3 linked regions of the Drosophila melanogaster genome follow. The protein of the gene in region 3 interacts with the protein of the main gene of each other region in a pairwise test. Each region holds a gene or a part of one and is shown on either strand. Other genes may lie near its edges. The genes, in order: CG42788, CaMKII and CG32809.

Region 1 (8,103 bases), on a different chromosome or scaffold from region 3:
ATGCAATTGGCGATGCTGAAGCATCTGCCGTTGAAAAAATGCGTACTAAAAGGAATAAACCACTAGTGGAGCGCCAGAACGAACGGGGCTCCAAGCAATTTACAAATTATTTTCGTCCACTACAAACTTTAGACGATGATAATGATGATAAACCTATTGAAACGGACACACTTGATGAAATAATAATCAAGCCACCTCCTATAACATTAATTAAACAAAATACAAAATTTGTACACGAGCTAATGGCTAAAATTAAAACTGATGATTACTTTATTAAAACCATCTCAATTGGAATTAAAATATTTTTACCAAATATGGACTGTTTCAATGCAGCTTGTAACCAACTCAAGGAACATAACTGTGAGTTCTACACGTACAATACTAGATCAAACAAGCCATACAAAGCCATTTTATCCGGGCTGGATAAACTACCAATTGAAACTGTCAAATCCATGCTACAAAACCTAGGATTACAATGCACCGAAGTCAAAATTGTGGAAAAGAAAACTAAGTCTGATCATGAATTATTACTGTACATTGTTTATTTCGTAAACAAAAGTATCACAGTAAAGGAACTGCGCAAAAACTTTATGTATGTCAACCACACTAAAGTACGCTGGGAGTATAAAGTGAAATTGCAGAATAAAATTACTCAATGCTACAATTGCCAACTATTTGGACATGGATCAAATAATTGTTCAGTTAAAACATCATGTGCCCATTGTGCTGGATCACACCAGACTGCCGTATGTATGGACGTAAACAACAAAAAATGCGCTAACTGTAAAGGCGACCATCCATCGACAGAACTGACATGCCCATGCCGAATTTCTTATCTCAATTTACTTTCCAAACGCTCATCACAACGCATTGGAAGAAATAACTTGGAAGCTCATGGAATGAGGAATTCTAAGCAACACATCGCTCCATCTGCTCTCTTTGGAAATCAACCCCAGATCTCATTGCCTACTCAAACTAAGAGAGTGCAACAACTCAACTTTGGTAGCTATAGTAATGCACTCACCAATATTCATACTTTGCCTAATCCCAAAGCAAATATCACAAGTGAAACTAATCTCTTTTCATGTGAAGAGATAAATTCTCTTTTGTCTGAATTAATAACAAGATTTAATGAATGCTCCAATAAGGGAGAGCAATTTCAAGTAATTTCTCAGTTAGCGATTAAGTATGTTTACACAAACAAATAATTTTATTGATAATTTGAATATTATGGCATGGAATGCTCGTGCCGTTAGAAACAAACGTATAGAACTGATCAAGTTCTTAGAAAATAATCACATTCACATAGCACTTATAAATGAAACGTGGCTGACTCATAGTGACCGTTTTAATATACCCGAATACACTATATACAGAAATGACAGGAAGGAAAGTAGGGGAGGCGGCGTTGCCATTGCAGTTAGTAACACATTGATACATGAACAAATACCCTGCATTAAAAGTCATGTTATTGAAAATGTAGGTATACAAATCAACACTGACTCTAATTCCAGTCTAAAAATTTACTCTATTTACTTTGCTGGAAATACTTCAAAATGTATTCCTAGTTCATGTGATTTATCTTGGGACCATAATCATTTAAAAAGTTTGTATAGATCTGATCTCCTTAAGATCTCACAAATAAATGGAAATTTTCTAATTTGCGGGGACTTCAACTCGCGCCACAGAGCATGGAAGTGTACCCGAGCCAATGGTTGGGGCAAAATTCTCAATGAACTTTCAGATCTGGGAAAATTCAGTATTTTGTACCCTACGCAACCCACATATATTCCGCATAACCATAAAGCAAAAGCATCAACATTGGACCTATGCCTCACTAATATCCCTAACCAGCTGGCTAATCCAGCAGTAATGCAAGAGCTTTCCTCTGATCACCTACCAGTGGTTATTAAATACTCTACAAATTTTATGCGCAATGTAAAAACATATCCGATTTTGGGAAGGGCAAATTGGGCGCTTTTTAAGAGAATTATAAATGAAAGGCTGATGGTTGAAGAGGTGGTTGTCAACTGCTCACAGATATCGACTTTGGATATTGATAATTTAATCGGCTCTTTCACTAGAGTAATCAATTATGCCTTTCTTAAAGCAGTCCCTCATAAACCTATACATCACTCCAAGCTTACACTCCCTGTACATATATTTTTTACAAAAAGAAGGAAACCTCGTTATCTTCCTGATAGACAGTTGCGAATACTAGACTCTCCAATACAATGGGTTGACAACATTCGATATTTGGGTATAATTTTTGATAAAAAACTAACATTTAAATACCACATCAACAACACAATTATGAAAGTTAATAAAATTATTTGCACACTGTACCCTCTAATAAATCGTAAATCTAAATTATCAATATCCAATAAGATCATAATTTTTAAAACAATTTTTAATCCAATATTAATGTATGGGTCACCTGTTTGGGGTAGATGTGCTCAAACTCATATCAAAAAACTTCAAATATGCCAAAACAAGCTGTTAAAATTAATAATGAACTTACCTTATTACACAAACACTAAGTACCTACATATAAAAGCAGGTGTACAAAAAGTTCAACAAAAAATACAATATTAACAATCTTTTGTTTCAAGTCTTAGTTTTTAAGTTAGTTGTAAGTCAATTAAGGTTTTTCTTCTCCCTTGTTTTCCTTAATAAATAATAAATATTGTTATACAAAAAAAAACTAAAAACAGGTCAACTAGACATAATTAATAAATATTTCAGATGAAAGCCTTAGCTAAACACTGTAAATACCTAATTATACCATTAGCTTTAATGAAATGTACATATATATATAAGGGATAAAGCACAAATAAATTAAATTAAAATTAAATTACTGCTTATTACCTTTTCGGGAAGTCCCCGTTTCGAATTTCAAATTACCCTTAAATAGCTAGTACACACTCCCAACTTAGCAGAGACACGCACCGAACTTGATAGCGGGTATACAATGTCGATAACACTTCGTCGATAGATCGATAACACTTGGGGTTTGTTTCAGCTGTTGCCGCGCCAGTCTCATTGTGTTTTTGCATCGCGAGCGGGACGGTCGTCGATTCGGGTTCGAACTGGAATCGGAAATAGCGGTCTAGCGGGCCTTTCTGCCTCTCTGTGTGCTTTTGAAAAAAGTTTGCTTGAAAAATGTGTAAAGAAAGCGGCGCCGCCAAGTGAGTGCGTGTGTGTGTTTTTATGTGTTTGCAAATACAAAGGTAAAACAGCCCCAAAGGCAACAACAAAGTGGCGGCGTTGGCGGCTATAGCGCAGTAGCAGCGACGCAGCGGAGCAGCAGCAGCGACGTCCAGTGCATTTTGGTGCAAACTAATTGTTGTTGTGAGAGGTACGCTATACTCGTATGTGTATGTGTGCGAGTGGGTGTTAGTTGCAGGTGTGCGTGCGATTTGATTTGCATTTATGTTGGGGTTTTGTTTTCAACTTTTCATCAAGTAATATAAACTAAATAAATGAACTATGTGTGGAAATTATTTAATATATATATAAATAAAAATAAAAGTATAATATGAACATGAAAGTTAAAGTTAAATCGTAGGAAATCAACAAATTGAGAATATTAAATTAAACAAATAGCCGAAAAACGCACACAATACAGCAAAAGCAAAGTAAAACTAAAATCATATTTAATAAACAGCATAGGGGACTGTTGTATAAGCATTTGTTTACATAGTGCAAAAGCCCATAAATTGTGCAATTCCCCCAGCAGAGAATTGTTCTCTCTCTCTCTTTCTCGCCGTCCCTTGTGTTAATTGAAAAAAAGTCAACAAACTTCCTGTTTTTTATGTGTCTGCCTCTCTTTTCCGCACTTTTCATAACTGTTGCCGCAGACAACAAGGCTATTATTGTGGCAGTACCGCCCCGCCCCCTGCCTGCGCCTCCGCAGCCCTTTCTTCCGCCCACAAACTCTCTCTGAAAAGGGAAGCGAAATGTGAGAGTGTGTGTGTTGGCAAGAAAGTTTTGTATTTGCTTTTGTGATTTCTGCTTGCTGTTTGATATGTGCCAGAAGTGCGGGCGTTGAAGTTTTTAGTGCAACATTTCTCTGCTCCAGCGGGAGCTTTTATAATGTGTGTGTGCGCTATTATTAAAACCCCCAACGCTCACACACACACACAGCCATGTGCATGGAGCAAAAAACTATGGCCGTGTGTATTTGTGCGAGGCGTTGGCGTTCTGACCAGCAGAAGAGGAAGATGGCGCAGCGGCAAGGGGTGAAAGGAAACGGAAATAAGTGGTGAAATGGGAGAGGGGAAGAGAGTGGGAAGAATACTAAATAAATAAATTAGAGAATCAAACAAATAAGCGGAGGAAAGTAAATAAATAGGTAAATTGAAATAAATAGATGAAATGTTTAACTAAACCAAAATACGGTCGATTTTGTATTGCAAATTGTATGGGGATGTTATATTTACTTTGAATTGATATTTTATATATCCATCTAAATCCATATAGCCATCTAAAAGTTTACGCTGGAAAGGTCATTATAATATTATCCACACTGTGTGAACTAATTATATTAACAGAATTTCGCGGAACACAGAAATCTTGTCGGTTTTGGGGTCAGTTCATAAATAAATCAAACAAATCGGGTAAAACGTAAAAGATAAACATTATGTAAATCAACAAACACCGCCCAAGGAATTCCTGTGCAATTTCGAGTGTTTACCTCTCGCCCACCTTGCCCACACCACCATCCATTCCCTTTCCTTTCCGTCCCCTTTCACCCACTTGTGAGACATAAACGTCGCCGCACATTTGCCGTACCCCCACTCCAATTGGTGGGGTATTGTAATAAAGCGTTTTACGATCTCCGGTGCCTGACGCACTTGTTGTTTTTATGACAGTTAAGCTATTTTGCGTATGACACGTTTGACAGATGCCAAGCGCCCAGTGCTGCTGCCAACGCCGCTGTTAAACGCAGCCCATCTCGCTCCCTCCTTTTCCCAGCCTCTCCACCGCCGTTAACACTCACCACCCATAGTTGGTTGATGCCCCCTTTTTACATGAAACCAAATTAATACTTTGATTTGGGACCAAGCGGAAAATATATTTGATTGAATTTCTTAAGAGCACATTATTGATCCGTTCCATAAACAGTTTAATACTAGATTTTATGAAATTAAAGCTTTAATATTATTCTCATTTGAAATTAGCCTCAATTAAGATAACCAAAACTTTTGGATGCCAAAAATATTATTCCATGCTGTGGCCTGCTCGACCAACATACATATCGTGCCACCCTAACCCACACCCCTTCGCTGGCCGAAAAAGTTTGTGCATGTTTGTTTGCTGCGCAGGCATTTTAATTTCACCAGCCATTAAGTACACAAAGAGTGGGCGTGTGGCATGTTGGGGGCGCAGCGGGTTGGGTCGGACAGAGAAGTTGTCTTTTCGCAGCTCCTTTTACGCATGTTTTCGCGCTAGAGCCCAGAAAGAAGTCGGCATGACATCAATTTTCTCGGCCAAATGTGGCGAACTGCGACAGCGGCAACAACAGCAACAATAAACTGGGCCACGCCTACAAAAACCATAAGCTGCAAACATCAAATATCAACGGCAGCAGCAGCAACAGCTAAAACAACAACAAACAACTGCCGCTCGGCTTGTCGCATGTAATTGCTTGCCGCAAAGTAAATGACAATAGCGCAAGGCAAAAGACAGTGGGGACAAAGTGACGCTGAATGGAATGCTGATATGCAATAATTAGTATCAAGAAATGATTGACGATGCTTGCGATAAATTGATACCTAGGCATAATTTTGATAACCAATAATATAGGAATTGCCGCTCTTTAGCTTGGTTTCATCTTAGGTATATCTTTATTATCTAAGACAATCAAAATGAGTCTCTTCTGATGTTAACAATTTCTTTGGTTTTTTCAAGTATTACGTATGCGTAATTTCTAATACTATGTTCTTATATTACCTATTTCATATTTTTTATTTATTTATTTGTTGTATTATTTTATTCAGTAGTTTTAATAATAATATTTTTGTATGGATTTTACTCCGATTCGTCCCACTGTACCGACAAACAAGCTGAGGTCGGTGTAACTAAAAACCGCAAAAGCTTGTCACTCCCCCTTTCGCACATCGCCCCCGGTTTCCACCTCCCGCCACGCCCCCTTGGGTCGCACACACTTCTATGCTGTCGAAGTAGTTGCTTCCGCTCTCGCGGTTTCGTCGCTCCCGCCTGAATAAATGTATGTACATGTATGTGTGTGTGTATAGAAGTATCTATCGCAGTTGTATCTTTTTGCTGTTGTATCTTTAGCCGCGTACGTGGGCGGCAAAGGCATTAGAAAAAAATATCAACGTCAAGCCCGAAGTTCAAATTCAAGCTTTGAAATATTTGCTGGATGACGTCGGCGTCCAATCTTTTGTCGTCGTCAATCAAAATTCGAAATATCTTTGACGCATTCTGCGGATGCATGCGCCTAGGCTTTGAGTTTCCGCTGCGGACTTCGGCTAAACAAATGCCAAAACCCAAACACAAAACAAAAAAAGGAAACTGATAAGCCAGGCAAACATTTAAACACTAGCTGCCATTTGCGTATCGAATATCGTTTTTGTTTATTATCTTCCCATTATTACTTGTATTTATTTACCTCCTCACTTTTTCGCTTTTTGGTCAAAGCTTTTGGCCATTTAATATTCATTTATTCAGCCATGTTTATTTATTTATTTGCGTGTCTCTCGGTCGGAGTGTTTGTGATTGTGTTTTCTACTTGTGATGTGGGGCTAAAAGACCATAAGACGTAAAAAAAAATAAAAATAACGAAAAACGTGAAATCGCATGCTAGGAGCCATGGCCATGATTTTGAATTTTAGCGGGCCAGAGTCGCGACAAAGAAATCCGAAATAAAATAAAAAAAAAGTATATATATAATCGTAAAGGCATTTGGCATCCATTTGATACCCTTGTGGAGGGTCATCGATTACTTTGATTTGTCATTTCTGCACGTTCAATTTCCTGATATATGTGGGATTCCCAATTTGGTTAATATCTTCGGAGTAAATCTTTCGATCACTTAAAATAGCCTATTTAAAATCAATTAAATGCTATTTGTTGCTTTTGTTTATTTTTATACTTCTTAAATATTATATAATTAAAGGTTATTGTGTAACAAGTTTTTGAGGTAAGCTGTTACCCATAAAACCATAAATTTCTATTAATTTTACAAGCTTCGTTGGCCTTTCCTTCGGTTCACATTTTGAAAGGAGAACAATATTTTAGCTTAGAGAAATCCTGCACTACCAAAGCCATATTTCATTTCGAAAATCATAAATCTCCGAAAGTTTCTGTTGGTCGGAGCGTAATTCATTTAGTTTGTGCGCCAAGCAGGAATTAATTGAGATCTTTTAGACAACTTAAATAAAAATATATGCGTATGTACACATTGGATTTAAAGGAATATGCTTTATATCTGGCTTGACAAAGCAATTTAAATATTTTAATTCAACGACTGCCAGCATGTACTTTTATGGAAATTTTGTTTGGGAAAAACAACGATGCCAATGGGAAAAATAACAAAGATAGAACTGCTTGCCACTCCCACCCATTCCCATCCCATATTCCAATTTTTACCATTTTCCCCACCCGTTTTTTCCCACCAGCGGGGCCAAAAGATTTTCGTAGCTCATAAATTCTTTTGTTTAACTCGTTTTTCTTTGATTTCTTTAGCCGGGCACGTAGCGAACCAAGCGCGGGTAAAGAAAAAAAGTGAAAATTCAGTGGGAAAATTGTCGCTGTCTGTGGCCCACTGCGATTACAGCAGCAGCAAGAAAAGCAGCCTCAAAACTAATTAGTTGCGCTGCATTCAAACTGAGTTTTACTTTTTGCCCCAGACTGCAACTTGGATTGAGTAAGACTTTCATCTGATCCCCGTTGCCGCCCCTTTGTTCACCCAATTGTCCGATTTTCCACCACTTTTCCCCGCCACGGTTGTGCAACTTTGGGCTCAAACGAGATGGTAAGAGACAAATTCAGTTAACTGTTACACACAGTCACTGACTGACTTAATTCCCTACATTTTTACGATTGTACCATTGCACATTGGTAGAAAAGTGATCT
Region 2 (7,837 bases), on a different chromosome or scaffold from region 3:
GTTCCTAAGATCTCAACGTTCATACGGACGGACAGTTCCAGATCGACTCTACTATTGATCCTGATCGAGAATATTATTCTATTTATGCTCGGAAACGCTTCTTTCTGCTTGTTACATACTTTTCAAACAATATAGTCTACCTTTTTACTCTACGAGTAAAGGGTATTTTTTATACGAAGTTAAATATATTTATATCAATCCTACAAGCTGAATAACGGGTATATAATTGTCAACGAAATCGGCCATAGCGTTTTTATTATTCTTTTTGTATATTTTTGTGTTGACGCCAAGTATATTGATGTGGTCAAGATTAATTAAGTTAAGTTACATACTCGAAAAATTTCTGGTCGCCAACATTGTCGTAAGTATGGCTCCCTTTAGCTTGCGCCGCGCATTAAATTTCTTGAGACAGTCTACGGTTTCTTGGCGATGCACAACGGAAGCCACACGTTCGCGTTGCTGTAACAATGTTTTTTCATTATCTTTATGTAAACCTAAGAGAAAAATTAGTCTGCACTTACACAAATCCACGGATGTTTTAAAGCCTCAGCTGCAGTTATTCGTTTATTTGGATTAACGGTTAGCATTTGATTAATAAGATTTTTAGCTTCTGGAGTAACCGTATCCCATTCTGGAGACGGATACTAAAATAAAGTTATATTTAAATATAATGAATCCACATAAATTATTATAGTTTCCGTACATCATAAGCTCCCGCTTTTATCTGCGAGTACAGTCGGTGCTGATCTTCATCCCAAAAGGGTGGATAACCGACAAGAAGTATGTAAAGAATAACTCCTGAGGAAAAATAAAATAGTTGTTGAACTGTGTAACCGACTGCCGTTTGGCATGCATGTGCATGCAAATGTTACAACAATTATAATTGCTTACCACATGCCCATATGTCTACCGATTTCCCATAGGGCTCCTTTTTCAATACCTCAGGAGACAGATATCCTGGTGTGCCGGCAAATCCAAACCAAGCCTGATGATCGCCTTGAACTTCAATGGCTAGACCAAAGTCAGCGAGTTTCACTGCTGCACCCTTAGCCTTACTAGCTAATAGTAAATTCTCTGGTTTCAGATCTCGGTGCACCACACCATTTTGGTGGCAGTGATTGACCGATTCCAATATTTGTTGAATACAATGTGATGCATCAGCTTCTGAATAAAATTCGCGTGCAACGATATCTTCAAAAAGTTCACCACCGGTTACACTGCAAATGTATGTAGGCATAGTCAAATTTTGCGATTGAAGCTCTAAATTTAAATTTAGGTTATATTTAAGTTGCGACAGCAGAAAACACATCTCTAATATAACAAAAATATATTGCGGCTAAAACTTGATTCATATTATATTATATATATTATATTGCGGCTTTAAAATTTGATTCATATTCATATTATAGTATGAACGAACGGAGGGAAAAGGATGAAGTATGAATCTCAATAAACAATAGTCGAGTCATTGCCACATTTACAAGCATTTGTTAGAAACTCATATTTTTAAAACACTTTTGGGGATAGGCAATTTAAATATTTGGTAAGGAGTCTATGCAGGTTAATGCTTACAGGTCAAAAACAAGGTAGTGATAGTTCTCCTCCTGTATACTGTCATGTAGCCGCACTGAAATTGTACATATTAACAATTTATTAGTTGTATACATTTGTATTTAATGTTTTTTTTTTACGGATGACAATGATTATAAGCCTTAAAGGCTATAAAAATATATGTTTATAAAATACATTTTGAACATATTATATATTTTGTCGGTGACGCTGGAGGAAGTGATGTTTCTAGATTTGAACTGTCCGTGTAAATAACTGTTTTGTTAGGTTACGCTTTTAGTGAGAGGAAAGTCTATTGCATGAGTTCGGTTTTTGCTGTTCTGCAAGTTTTTATAATTATTATAATTATAAATTACTTGGAAGATTTGTTATTGGAGAGTAGGGAGGGCGAGGAATGGAATGTTGCTTGCAGATGCGGATTGATATATCTACTAAACTCTATTTTATTTTTTTCTTCGTTGTGTTACCGTGGACGTCAAACCATCCTTTATCAGGATCACATTGCAAGTCATCAACACTACTGGGGTCTAAGCCGTGATTGAATGTACATATAAAAATTATGTATAGTAGATGTTCAAAGTGATATTAGGCCATGTTCGTCTACTTTTATGTAGATCATACATCTTCAGAAAAACGTATCTTTAAAGAATAAGTAAGTAAATTATATTTATATACACGTTGCATACCTATGTTGGGATGGTGTAACTTTCTGCAGATCCTTGCTTCACGTTCCAGTTTTTGAAAGTCTAAAAGCAAAAAAAAAAAATATATATATATATATATTATAAGCATCTCTTATATGCATACATGCATGTGTACAAATATGTTAATAAGAGGTTTTTGGCGAGCAAGCAAATGGTTCTCTCTAAGCCCAAAATTTGTCCCAGCTGTCATGCTCAAACTTCTTAAAAGTTATTTAATATATTTTTTGTAAATTACACACTTTGCCAATACTGCTATTCCAAAATTATTTTGGCCACGTCTTGGCAGTAAAAATTTATTAATTACTAAATAGCACAACACCAAGAAATACAACTTAATTACTGTAGAACTATTTGATACTTGTGTGGCAAATAGATAGGGACGACGAAGATATTACACAAAAAGAATGGTCCCTTCCAAAAGCGTACTTAGCAAAAAGAAAGTACATTTTACAGGAAAACTTTTTGACAGTCAATGTTTACTACTGATTTCTTACGATATGCCATATCGCCGTTGAAAAAACGGCATCAGATACCAGTTACTCAGCTAGTGTGAATGGGAACGCGAAATTTCATCATTTTTCTAGGATAACGATAGATATTGGGGAATAAAATAAGAAAAAAGTTTAAAAATTGGTCCAAAGTGTGGACGTGACCGGTTGGCGGCTTTTAAGCAAATCGATAGAAGTTAAAGGGCGTTAGAATGGGCGTGGCAAACTTTTTTTTGAGCAAATCGATAGAAATTTACAAGACCAATACAAATGTGAAAAAATATCAACACATTTTTCAAAAGTGAGGGCGTGGCGCATGTGGCAACATGGGTCAACAAACTTGCGCTGCGTATTTGTTTCTAAAATCTGTATGCCTTCTAGCTTGTATAGTTTCTGAGATCTCGACGACCATACGGAGAGACGGACTCGGCTATTGATCCTGATCAAGAATATACATACTTTCCAAGGATCAAGGATCTAGTATACCCTTTTACTGTACTCGACGAATTACCTAAAAACAGCACTTAGTTTCCCTACATGCGTGTGCATAGCATAAATGCGTACATATGTGATTTATAACCTACATAGAACACAGAAAGCCTTACCTCTGGCAGTTAATTTTTTTGTATTGATAATTTTTGCAGCAAATTCAAAGCCAGTTGACTTTTGGACACATCTTTTCACAATTGAGAATGCTCCTCTGAAATGTTAATAGACGGGTTATTATAATAAATTTATTAACCTTGAGTTTGTTAAACTTACTTTCCCAACTCTTCTTTGATGTCGTAATTGTCCGAAAAACGCGTACAGGCTGCTGGTGCAGCCATCGCGATGGCACACTTAAGAAAATCTATTGCGACTAAAGATCTTCAACTGCTCTACAGATTTCACTTTTCAGGAGTTTTATTTCTTGTTTTCTAAACGATTTTTAAATATAAGATAATAAATCAGTTTTACAAAAATTATACAAAAAATTGCTTACAACGTACAAACATACATACATTGTTGTACCATTTAGGTACCATGGGCCTTCTCTAAATATTATTTTGTTATAAAGTAATCACTAGCTGGTTCAAAAGTTTCAGACAGCGTTGGTTCTATGGTATCCAAAGGGGTACTGCATGTATTTGAGAATCCCCCGGCCATCATAGTATAAACTTGCATTCTTCTCTGTATAAGATCGGGCATGAAGCTCGTAAAGTAAAGCTCGCCAATGTAATTCAGAAGTATTCAGAGCACAGATTAGGTAACTTATTTCATAGAAACACATATCGGTAAAATTAAAAGAATGTCTCGCTATTCCAATTTTAAAATTCTATATTACTCAGTGGAGTCGATGCAAAACAGACCAGCAATCTACATATAGTTCTTCAAATTTTAAATGGTTTGTAATAATATAAGGGTTATGTTATTTTAAACAGCCGCAGGTTTCTTATTGAGTTGGTAATTCAAGTGAGTTCTCTTAAAGCACGTTGCTTAAACTAGAAAACTCGACCTCCATTTTGAAGATTTTGGTGGTTGAAGTTTTTTCATGTGATCATGAAATCATACGAAAAAACACCATACTTCGCAAGAAACAACATGTGCGGGGGCACAAATTGAAAAATGTCTGAAAATGTATTATCCTATCTCAAACGTTGAATCTGATACCTTGTTGTTGCCTAGAGATGACATGACATTCGATAGACGAAAAATGTAATAAACTCGATTATTAAACATAGGGGTCAACTCCTTACCAAAGCTACACTTAACTGTTCCCCATGCACATCAAAATAGCAAAGGTATCTACATATGTAAAACCATAACTCCGCGGTTAGTGCAGTGTAAACGGGCCTTACATCGATATGCATATCAACCACTCAGTGGCGTTTTCAATATCAAATTAAACTATGGCCCTGAAAAAATACGAATCCATTGCAGAATTAAAACAAGAGAAAACGCTATAGTAAAGCTTTTCGACTATCAGATAATTGTTACTCAGCTAGTGGAAGTATGAACGAGAATATTAAACATTTTTCTGGCGTACCGATTAAAATTGGCAAAACAATTTCAACAATTTTTTGAAAAAAAATAAACGAAAACTTAAAAAGGGCATGGCACAATCTTAACTTTCTAGCTTTTATAGTTCCTGAGATCGTGGAGTTCATACAGATAGACGGACATGAAAATTCGACTCGGCTATTGATCCTGGTGAAGACTATATATAGTTTAAACGCTCGGAAACGCGTCGTTCTGCAAGTTACATACTTTTCAACGAAGCTAGTGTGATAGCCAGCTGATCAAGAGCAGCAACAATCATTACTATTAACCTATATTACGTATTGAGTAAAGGAATAAAAAATGGAAATTATTTTTTCGTTTTACTTTCCAGTTATTATAGTTTCAGCGGTAACAGCGTTGATACGGACGACAGGCATGGGATAAAGCATGCAAATTTGTTTTCTTGAGAACCAGACATTTAATCCGCCTAAAACTGTAACTCCAATTTTTTTGAAAAATAATTTGCTTCTTTCAGTCTTGAAATCTTTTATTTCGATTTTGCCCACACATTTACAAAGTGTTTTGTTTTTTTGTTTCATTATTTTTATTTATTCTTTTATTTTGCACATTTCTGTCGGGTTGTTAAATAGTCGATGAACTACTGTCACGTTCTCTCTTGTTTTATACCTCTCCGTGAGGTTTGTTTTTTGCCATATCCGGTAACAGCGGTACTGTTAGTTTTTAGTTTGTTGTACGTGTTTTTTTAAAACTAGACCCAATCACCATGAAAAAGAAGTGTTTCCCTGGAAAAGGTATATGTAGACCCTTAATTGCACCCTCGCAATTTTGAAATAACATACTTATAATATAATATTGTCAAGTCAAATGTTACGAAAAGTTTAAAATTTGTGATCAAAACTTTATTATCTTTGTTTTAAACCAGATATATTTAACTCTCATTGACATATTTCAATCAATTAAAAAAAGCGACAGGTGTTTTTGGTTAATTTCTTAAAAAAGAAAATCCTGATTATGAGAATGTATCTGGGAAGCAGTTATATATATACGTACATATATATGTAGGTATGTATCCTTTGCAGGTTACATGCGTTGAAGCTTTTTTTGATGAGCTTAATGGTAAAACGCCCCACCCCTTTTAGCAAGGATATTTCAGGGTCTTGGAAATTACTTGTTGCAAATTATACTTTTTCATTAAATCATATAAACACGCGCTATGTACGCGAATTAAATATACTATTTGGATGAGACCTTCAGAAATGTTTTACTAAACCCATTTTTCGGACTAGGAGGGACGATATATAGAATGTGAAACACTTTTTTAAAATTAAAAAAAAAGCATTTATCATAACTCGTAAGTATTTAGGTATGTTTTAAACTTTCTTGTAGATATCAAGAGTAATTTGTAAGATGTATGTATATTGTGCAATAACAATTACAAAATTTTTAAGTGTCATATATTTATATTTACTGCGTAACTGAACAAAGGCACAAAATGGGGTACATACTGATGTTGTATAAATGTCCTTTTAAGATATAAGTGAAGCGTGTGAATATATATATTAACTTTACAATATGCAATCGTTATACGCGCGAAAAAAGTATTTAATATTAGTTGGCATATACACAGTAAGAGACCATACATATATCAAATATATGTATATGTGTATACTCATGTATATATTAGAATCTGTGTTGACCCAGAATTGTATCAGGTATTATAGATACGTAAACTTATATAAATATACATATATATAAAAATACATAAGTGAGTACATATGTATGTATATTAAATCCAATTTGATACCTATACTTGATGTGTTCTTTTCAATTGCGAATAACAATATTTTAAACTTCAGGAGATCTGATAAATGTTTGTTCAAAATGCTTATAAGAGTATTTAAAAAGCTATATGTATATGTTTTTAACGAGCTGGGAGAACACGAAACACACAGCTAGATACCGAAATTTTTAGAACGTCTGTTTTCTTGAAAATCGAATTCAATACTGACTAACAAGATTTTGCGGCCGCGTTTGATTCGATGAACTGCTAGAGAGAAAAGCTTTTTCGTCTCATAATGTCGTTAAATCGAAAACTTTTGCCAACGACGGTTCGTTTCAGGAGCGTCTGCGCATTAATTTGTGCACATATCACTATACTGAACTACCTCCGCATTAAACATTATTGGGTTGATTGGAACTCTAAAGTAATATATTTCATATTATCTTTTTATTTTAGGCCGTGATTCCATAAAACTGCCCACATAAATGCTCCATAGTTAGACTAATAAGTACTCAAACCAACGTTTCACAACACTTTGTCATGCGCACCGTGACCTAAAATGTTACAAAAAGAAAAATAAATATTTAAATTTAAATTTAATTTTATTTAAAGTAAAATAAATGAAATCCTTAATTTGTAATCATTTCATTTCAGTCTGTTGGAGCTCTTCAATTTACAAATGAATTAGAATTTAAAACTGATATCTGAAACGCACAAGGTATGATTACATTAGCCGTTTTACCCCATTCGTCAATCTGTGTAAACCGCCTCGATCTCAAGAACTATAAATGCTAGGAAGTTGAAACTAAGCAAGTACATTTTAGAGACATAGACTCTTACTCTGACAAAGGAAAATTGACGAGTAAACTGTTTAAAAAAATTTGAGTTTTTCGTAACAACAAAAATAGTAAAGCCGCAATAAAAGAGATGACAGATGTATTTAAACTATTACAGGGCGATATCTTCCATTATGACCTCTTGATTTTCACAGACCCTAATTTCCCAATGCAATCTAAAACACTATAATCAAATATCGTAAAATATTTAAAATAAACCATATTTTCATTGTTATTATTCATAAATAGTTGCAGTACACATACAGTTTGTCAAAAAAGTGTTTAGACACTGTGAAAAAAGTTAAATTTTTGACTTTAAAGGTAAAAATTAAGAATTATTTGCTTAATTAAACGGAATTTTTTTATGAAATATAATTCAACAATATTTATTTTAACTATAAATAAAAAAATTAAAAATATAAAATATACAAGAAAATAAACAACAATTTCTTTACACAT
Region 3 (7,998 bases):
TTTTCAAACGTCTTGAATATGTTTGGATATTTTCAACTGCCCCAGGTCGTCGATGCCACCGCTGCTCTTGGCGTCGTCGCTGCTGTTGTTGATGCTGTTGCTGTTGTTGTTGATGCTGTTGATGTTGTTGTCTGCGTTGTTGTCGCTGCGGTCGCATTACATAAGCGATAATTTACCTGTTTCCAGTTGGATGTCGTCGGCATTGTTGGTGTCGCACTCTCAGCTGTGGGTAGCAGCTTAAGCCAATGCTGAAGCTAACACGCTTAAACCGAAGCTGAAGTTCAAGCGGCGGGCCTTAGCATTTGACATAATTCCAGAGCGTCAACTCAAGTAGTAGTGATCAGCAGCCAAGCTTCCGGATAGGAAGTGCTTTACTCACAGCCGGTGGTGATTTGGTGATTCATATTTAAATGTATGCATATCACATGTTGCCAGCGTAACAGGATTTGCCGCATGCCGGTTGTATAACCAACCGCCTGGCTCACCGCTTGGGCGGGTTTCCTGATCGCATCTGATCACCGATGGGGGGATTCCTCGTGGCTCGTGAGATGACTAGTTGCCTAGCGAAACGTTCTGGCCATTGAGCCATCGAGTTGTTGGTAGTAGTTGGGAACGCTGCTCCACTCAGTTTCGCAATCTGAGCCGCCGTTACCATTATTGGCATGAAAGCGAGTCTCAAAGCCAATCTGATCCACTTATGCATCCACATCCACATTCACACTTGCAGCTGGAAAGGAACCACGCGAGGTGCAAATCTGGGTCGCAAATGCGCAGAATTCCAGTTTCCTTTCGATGGCCATAAAAGGTCAGCAAATGTACAGGTAAGTCTAGACGCAACCATCCATCGATCAATCCGGCGTCAATCCGTCGAATCTTTATCGTTTTTCTGCTCAAGATTGAACTACCCGTTGAAAATGCGCCAGTGGCATCACATGTGCAGCTCGTGGAATGGCAAGACGGGCGAGTGGCAGGCCTGGCTGAAGGCAGAACGCATTGGGCGTGGTTTCCACAACTCGGTGAGTTTGACTCCATTTGACTCCAATTACGCATATTGCAAAATGCCTTGTTCGCGTTTTCACTTTCGGCGTGCGAATGTCAGCTGCTATAATCTCAAATCTCCGTCTCCACTTAATTCTTAATTGCTTCAGTTGGTGGGACATAAAATCCCAGCGAATGGCAAGCTGCGCTCCGGCGGCAGTTCGGTCACCGGCGAGGTGAGCCACGGCCTCCACTTCGAGATGACGCTCGTCCAGGTCTATCGGGTGGCGCTCAGTGCAGGCAAGGCGCATCGCGACCACAAGCACCACCATGTCCACCACTTTGATCACGAGGGCCAGGAGGTCTCCAGCACCACTCGTGCCCCACCCTCGGTAAGTTCGTAACCAGTGCCCACGGAGACAATATAACACGCCAGACCTCCATTCAGATTAATCGTCCTCAACCCATGCACACGCTGCTCGCCAGTGGCCAGATCCCGACCCGGGTGCGCATCAACTTGGCCAATCCGCCGCCGACTGCAAGTGGTGCTCCCGCTCCTGGCGCGGCCGGAGCTCCGACCGATTCCGCCCAGCAGGCCATCACCATCAACACAAATTTTGTGAACGGACAGATAAACGCGGGATCGCGACTGGTGGCCCAGCAACTCCTTGGCCTCTCGCCGCCGAGCGGATTGCAGCCTAGTGGCGGTGGCAAACGCTTCCAAATGCTAAGTAACTCAGCCAACGTGCAGTTCATCGACGAAACGGAGACCCACATCCAGTTCAAGAGGAACACCGACGCCACTAAGAAGGTTCAGAAGCGCGGCCTGGTGCTGCTGGACGATGGATCTGTGGTGGACGACGGTGTCGGTTCCGGAACGGATGGGAGCTTGATTTACAACGGTCTCGCCGACTTTGGCGGACAGCAATTTAAGCAGGATCTTACGCTCAAGATGAGCCTGGAGGAGGAGATCAGCACGCACGACCGAGAGCCCGCCGAGGAGGAGGTAAGGGCCGTGATGGCCATCTGTAGCAGCTGCCACACGGAGCCTTTCCAGGGTGCCATCGTGTTTTCGTGGAAGGATGTGCGCGAGCACATGAACAACGCCCTCAAGGGCCTCAGTGTGGGTCCATGTGGTAACTTCTAGTTGTTCCCAAAGTTCGGATAACATTCTAGTGTCCTAGGACCCCAGCTTAAGCTTTCCCAGCCCCACCCCATTATTTCCATATCTTTTTTTTTTCTATATATGTACGAATAAGTATTCGATTGGTTGGGCATCTTGTGCCACAATTGTCCATGTGGGAGTCAACGCTTTACTGTTGCCACCCATTTGGCCACCAAACAATCCTTGACTCGCTCATGGACACCAATCCATCCTGCTTCCCTAAGCCCTACATCCTCACCCTAGCAATTACGCGGTGATATTGAATAAAGGACTATTTAACTGATACCATCTAGCAGCACTTACCTTTGATTTGTGGATATGCTGGTGCTTGTAGTCCGAGTCGAACTCCGGCTCGCTGAAGTAGCTCTGATCCTGATCCCAATTGGCCTGCGCCTGCGGCAGGGGTTGGGGTATTCCAGGGCCGCCGGGCAGAATCTGGGGCGGGGCTGCCACCTCAGTGGACTCAAAGAGACGCAGCACGGAGCGATCCCTGATCTCGCGCAGATGCGAGCGCACGTCCTCCAGCTCGTAGAACATATCCTTGCTGGCATCGTGAATGTAAATCTTCACATTGGGCCCCTCCAGATATGACATGGTCAACTGGCGCGGAAACGAGCGTACGAACAGGGCGCGCACCGTATCAATCGAAGTGATCTCGTTGGGCAGCAGGGCGCGCTTCGTCTCCGAGCGGTACTGCAGAAAGACCAGGCCCAGCGGTCGTTCCAGAGTTTTCGAGGGCGTGCGTACCACGGGGAGCGAGGAGCGCTGCTTGCCGCCCCTCCGGAATCCGGTGCTGGCCGTTTCCACCTCCGACATGATGCCGGGATCGTCGTCGAACAGCGGTCCCTGGTTAACAGGCGCATAACCGCGCATCGGCTGGTTCTTTTTGTTCTTCTGCGCGCGCGTACTCATCTAAGAAGGGACAAGAATCAGAAACTGATGGTAGAAACGAGTTGAGATGGGAGATGGAGCTCACCTCCAGATCCATGGCCCGCTGTTGCTGGGGCGCCATCTGATGGGCGTGTGGATGCTGCGAGCCGTAGACCAGCATATCGCCGCCGAGCGTATGTCGTCGTGGATCGTCGCGTCGCATGGCTCGTCGTCTTTCGTCGCCACCTGGGGAAACACATAGACACTGAGGATGGGGCTACAGATCCGTGGACGTCTTTGGTCCTTAACATACCCTGTTCATTCGACGGAAGCCGTCCCGACTTTGCCTCATTCTGCCAGTCTTCTTCTGAAAGAGAGGGAGCTGGAGTTAGGCTCATTTCATTTCGCTTCCTTCCGATTTATGGATTCCGATTACTTACCGCCCTCTCTACCCTTGCGCTTCTTCTTCGACGAGGAGCTGCTGCTGCCGCCGACGCTCTGGTTGGAGGAGGCGCTCTTGTCCTTACTCTTCCAACGGATCAACATCCTGCAGCCGTTTGAGATGTGCGGAGCTCAGTGGCTATGTTGCAGCTGCAGAAAATGAGAGACAACGGGGCGTATGGGTAACGTGAAAATGTCCTTATTTTTTTGGTCTTTGTTTACGTTTGGTACCGGCAACAACACGCTAAACCGCACACACACAACATGCAACTTTGGTGTAGATAAACCATGTATCCTCGCACATTCTTTAACAGGGTGTGGTGGAATGGAGTGGAGCCTCGCAGTGGCAGTGCCAGTGCTCAATGCAAAAAGTATGCAACGGAGTGCGCAAACTCTGCTCTGCAACACGGAATGGAGCAAGAAAGCAGGACAGAGCGGAAGGCGTGACTGGAGCTGGATCTGGAACTGCATGCGGATCTGGATCGGGACCCCAGAAATGCGGCTGGCAGAACAGACAATAGTGTTGGCCGAATACAATTGTTCATCGCAGTTGCCATTAAGATGCCATTTGCTGAGAGAACACGAATCACTTTCGAATTTGTTTTGCATATGTAAACGTTTTTGGAGTTGGAAGTTGCTTTAAACAAGGCATGTCAAGTTATTTTGGCTGCATGTACATGTTTATCTCGAGCAAGAAATCCGAGGAAGGGGCACCAAAAGGAAACGGACGCAGAGATGGGTACACACGAAACATGGTATACTTTTCAGTGCAGCACTTCACGGGTTTTAGTATGCCTTTGCCTTTGCCAGTGCCAGTGCCTGGGAATATGTACACAGCCACCCACATTCACTGCCCATCGGCATTATTGCGGGCCACTAAAGGAATTTTTGATTAGTTTTAGGTGCGGTGCCCCGGCCCGTTTTTTCCCAGCCGCCATTAATTGTGTCAGTTGCGTCCAGTTTCCAGGGCACGAGTGCACATTAAACACGGTGGAGGGGAGCTCGTGTCTGTTGACTTTTCCACACACGTCAGCGGTCAGTTGGCTGGATTCCTTTGGGTTTTCATGGGGGATCTCGTCCTAGCTGTACCTTGTATACCTATGCACCTTTGGGGGTGTGTGGGCGGTTCACCGGCGATGTTTCTGGCATTTTCTCAAACCGCACTTGCCTTGCCGATTCAGGAAGGTTTCACAATTAACGGGTCTAGGTGCTCATAGCTCGAGGAGCTCACCGATTTAGCCGTGTCCTTAGGATAAAGATTCGATTCAATTCGCTTCGCTTTGCACTCGTCACTACACAGCTTTCTGGAGTCAGGACACGGCACTCGTCCACCGACGCAGCATAACGCCAGAAGAGCAGAAATATTTCTGGTATATCTACACCGGAAAGCGTTTCCGCCCTAGCCGAACGAGGACTGCGTGCTTGCACGGCGCATGCGTTACCAATCGAGTGTTCCCGGACCAGCGAAGTTCCCTGGCATCCAGCCGTCAGAGGTCCTGGCATCCCTGCATTCCGACGCTGCTCTGTTGTGTGTGTTTACCTGGTGCCGGGGCAATCGAGTAATTTTCTTGGCGGTTGAGCGCATGTGGCTATCGAATGGCTCCAATCGATTACTGGGCGGAAGGCCTTTAAAAACAGGTGACGAAACACATGCTTGTCCTGCGCCGGCTTGTTTATCCGGGAGTAGCCAGGATTCCAGCGGATGTCTGGGCCCGCAGCCACGCCCTGGTGGAGTTTCCCGGCCAGTGGCCTCGCTGTGAGCAGCACCAGTTTGAATCGGACATGCGGGTCATCAGGGACTTCATCACTGCGAAGGAGGAGCAACTACTGATGCGGGAAATCGAGCCTCACATCAGCCGCTTGCCGTACGAGTTGAGCCACTGTGATGACGTGGGTGGGTATATATAGAGACTATATAGTATCGGATTTCTGGCTAAACTTCTTAAACTTCGCAGGCAGATACCGCGAAGTTGAACGCCGAAAGTGGACTCCCCAAAACCAGGCCACGCTGGATCACGTCTCGTGAGTTTCCTTCGGTGAGCAGGTCATGCCCTTCGTGCACATCCTGGACTTGGCTGACTCTGGCGCGATCAAGCCGCACGTGGACAACACTCGAGTGAGTTTGGCCACAGAAGATGCAACTCGATTTCATTTTCATTTACGATTGTATTCGACAGTTTTGCGGCAACACCACTGCGGGCATTAGCATGCTCAGCGACTGAAGCGCGTGACCAAGGATCCCATGACTTTGTCAGCCACTCTGAGGATCTGCTCCTGCCGCAACTCTCGCTCTATATTAAGAGTGCCCTAGCGCGATACGAGTTCACCCACGAAATCCTGGCCAGAGATCAGTCGTGGTTCAAGGAGCGCTTGGTCGAAACGAACCTTGATGGCATACGCATAGTTTCCTTTTCTCACAGCTGGTGTACATGTATATATATATATATATACAATGAAAATTTATTCCGGTTTGGTGATCAGCTAATGTAATACAGACGGCGGACTGCGACGGATTACACGACGTGATTCAGCCATGTAATATATGATACACTAAATCAAATGTACATATACATAGTATATCTTAAGCTAGCTACTTGTACTTTATAAATATTGGGCTCACCTTTCTCACTCGCTTCAAATTTTCTACTCCCTCTTATAATCTTTTGAAATTTGTGTTTTTTGCTCAACAATGTATATGGGTTGATGCTTTTCTACTTTCATTTGTACGTTGTCGTCTCGTTTCATTTAAAGCTTAAAATATGAGAATGACAGAGACAGGGAGATTAATGGGCAACTGAGTGAGATGGAGAGAAGGTGCTTGGGAAAGGGGAAGGATACAAAAATCGACCGGACAAGGACTAGTCCTGGATTCAAGGATAACTGGGAAATAGTGATGTGTTGTCGCTAAACCTACGTTCATATTTGCACTTCTAGCCACTGCTAGTTAAAGTCTATGCCGTGCTTCCGGCTCGGGGAATGATATTATGGCGATGGGGACTCGGTTCTGGCGGGTCATCGGTCATCAGTCATCCAGCTCATCCCAGTTTTCGGCGCCGCGGCAGCTGCAGCGGCAAGGCAACAACGGAAGCAGACGAGGTCGGATTTGCTGCCATCACCGGAAGGGCAAGAGCCACTGGAGCTGCGAGTCCGCCGCCGACGTACTGCAGATGCTGCACCACCGAGAGCTGTGGCTGCTGCTGCTTGAGCAGCTTGGCGGCAGCGTGTGCCTCCGCCGCAGCCACCACGACGGGGTGCACCGGTTCGGTGCCGACTCCTCCGTTGACATGTGGACCGGTGCTTTCGCAATCGTCTTCGTCTGAGATCAGTGATATGCTGAGGTCGCTGGACAGTTTTAGGGAGATGGGCGTGGGCGGCGAGGGAGCCACCAAGGGCGCCACTTTGGCGCGCAATGCCGGTGACAGTTTCTGCAGCTGCTCCGGCATCAGGTCGTTCGTGTATTCCGGCACTCCACTAAAAGCCAGGCCTTCGCGTAGTTTGCTCAGCGAGAGTTCGTAAATACGGTTTGCGATGACCGTGTGAACGGTCGTCTCGTCCGGCAGCGTGGCTGTGATGCCTCCGCCCACGTCCACCTCCAGAAAACAGCCCGTTTCATTGCCGCCCTCTCCGCCTTCGGCGGTGGCGAATCCATTGCTGGCCGCCGTCGACGCTCGACACGGCTTGGGGTGACCTGACACCCGCGTCAGGCAGTTGGCAGTGGTGGAGGTGCGCGGCACCAACGAAACAGTTACCTCTTCGATGGTCTCCGACTGTGTGAGCGGTGCGAGCGGTGGCGGTGAGCGCATGGAGAGCTGGGAGCGCACTCTTGCCGTGCTGCTGGGTTCCTGCTCGTTGTGCTCGTCATCGCTGGTTATCAGGATGCTGTCGGTCACTGGGTATGAGTGGGTGGCAGCTCTGCGCGGCGCCTGCCTTCTGCCCGTTCTATGTGCTCGGTGCCCTGGGGCAGGAATCAGGAGGCGATTGTGGCCAGCTGCAGCGGGCTGTCCGGCCGATGGGGTCTCATCGTCATCCGACAGCAGGTCGATGGTCACGTCCGGCTGCAAAGTGGAGGCGACATGGCGCCGCTGCAGATGGGACAGCTGCCGGTCAGTCTTGGAGGCGAGAGCCACTTGGTCGCGCATCCGGGCCATGCAGATCCGCTGGTGCTCAAGCAGGCGTTCCATCCACCGACAGCGGCGCCGCTTGAGACGACGGTTGTCGAACAGCCGGGGCGATATGTAGAATGGTTCGGAATGTTTCTGGTTCATGTCTATAGGCGGCAGGAGAAGAGTTAGTCTGTGACGCCTGGTCGGCCACTGGTGGGCACCTATTTACCGAGTGTGTGGACTCGTCTTCTAGCGGTGGCGGTGCCTGCCACGGGTTGTCAAGGGTCATGGGCTCGGGCCCGTGGGGCTCCTCCTCCTCCTCCTCTTGCTGTTCCACTGGCGGCGAGTACAGTTAGATCCACTGCTGCAACTTGCATAATTGCGTGGCGGCGCAGGGGGATTTCCTTGAGAGGAGCGGAGGCGCGGGACTAGGCGCTGCGC

What was found.
Region 1: the proteins of CG32809 (region 3) and CG42788 interact in a two-hybrid assay, tested with the Drosophila melanogaster proteins (one large-scale study listed by BioGRID).
Region 2: the proteins of CG32809 (region 3) and CaMKII interact in a two-hybrid assay, tested with the Drosophila melanogaster proteins (one large-scale study listed by BioGRID).

What each region holds. Positions count from the first base shown.
Region 1 is NT_033777.3:15,126,863-15,134,965, reverse strand, and holds the start of CG42788 (uncharacterized protein), read left to right. Parts: upstream 1-3,039; 5' UTR 3,040-3,358; intron 3,359-4,106; exon of another isoform or gene 4,107-4,212; intron 4,213-8,103.
Region 2 is NC_004353.4:1,046,932-1,054,768, forward strand, and holds the start of CaMKII (Calcium/calmodulin-dependent protein kinase II), read right to left. Parts: upstream 4,448-7,837; 5' UTR 4,412-4,447; exon of another isoform or gene 3,763-4,411; intron 3,679-3,762; 5' UTR 3,589-3,678; coding exon 3,524-3,588; intron 3,462-3,523; coding exon 3,367-3,461; intron 2,316-3,366; coding exon 2,256-2,315; intron 1,628-2,255; coding exon 1,573-1,627; intron 1,218-1,572; coding exon 892-1,217; intron 799-891; coding exon 704-798; intron 645-703; coding exon 522-644; intron 460-521; coding exon 333-459; intron 1-332. UniProt on the Drosophila melanogaster protein: A key regulator of plasticity in synaptic physiology and behavior, alterations in its activity produce pleiotrophic effects that involve synaptic transmission and development as well as various aspects of behavior. Directly modulates eag potassium channels.
Region 3 is NC_004354.4:1,687,754-1,695,751, forward strand, and holds the start of CG32809 (uncharacterized protein), read right to left. Parts: upstream 5,016-7,998; 5' UTR 4,686-5,015; exon of another isoform or gene 4,544-4,685; intron 3,605-4,543; 5' UTR 3,560-3,604; coding exon 3,454-3,559; intron 3,381-3,453; coding exon of another isoform or gene 3,378-3,380; coding exon 3,327-3,377; intron 3,260-3,326; coding exon 3,120-3,259; intron 3,056-3,119; coding exon 2,447-3,055; intron 2,435-2,446; exon of another isoform or gene 2,126-2,434; coding exon of another isoform or gene 1,427-2,125; intron 1,371-1,426; coding exon of another isoform or gene 1,149-1,370; intron 1,017-1,148; coding exon of another isoform or gene 896-1,016; intron 822-895; coding exon of another isoform or gene 728-821; intron 353-727; exon of another isoform or gene 177-352; intron 1-176. Other genes in the region: b6, read left to right, coding at 728-821, 896-1,016, 1,149-1,370, 1,427-2,125; a6, read right to left, coding at 6,490-7,719.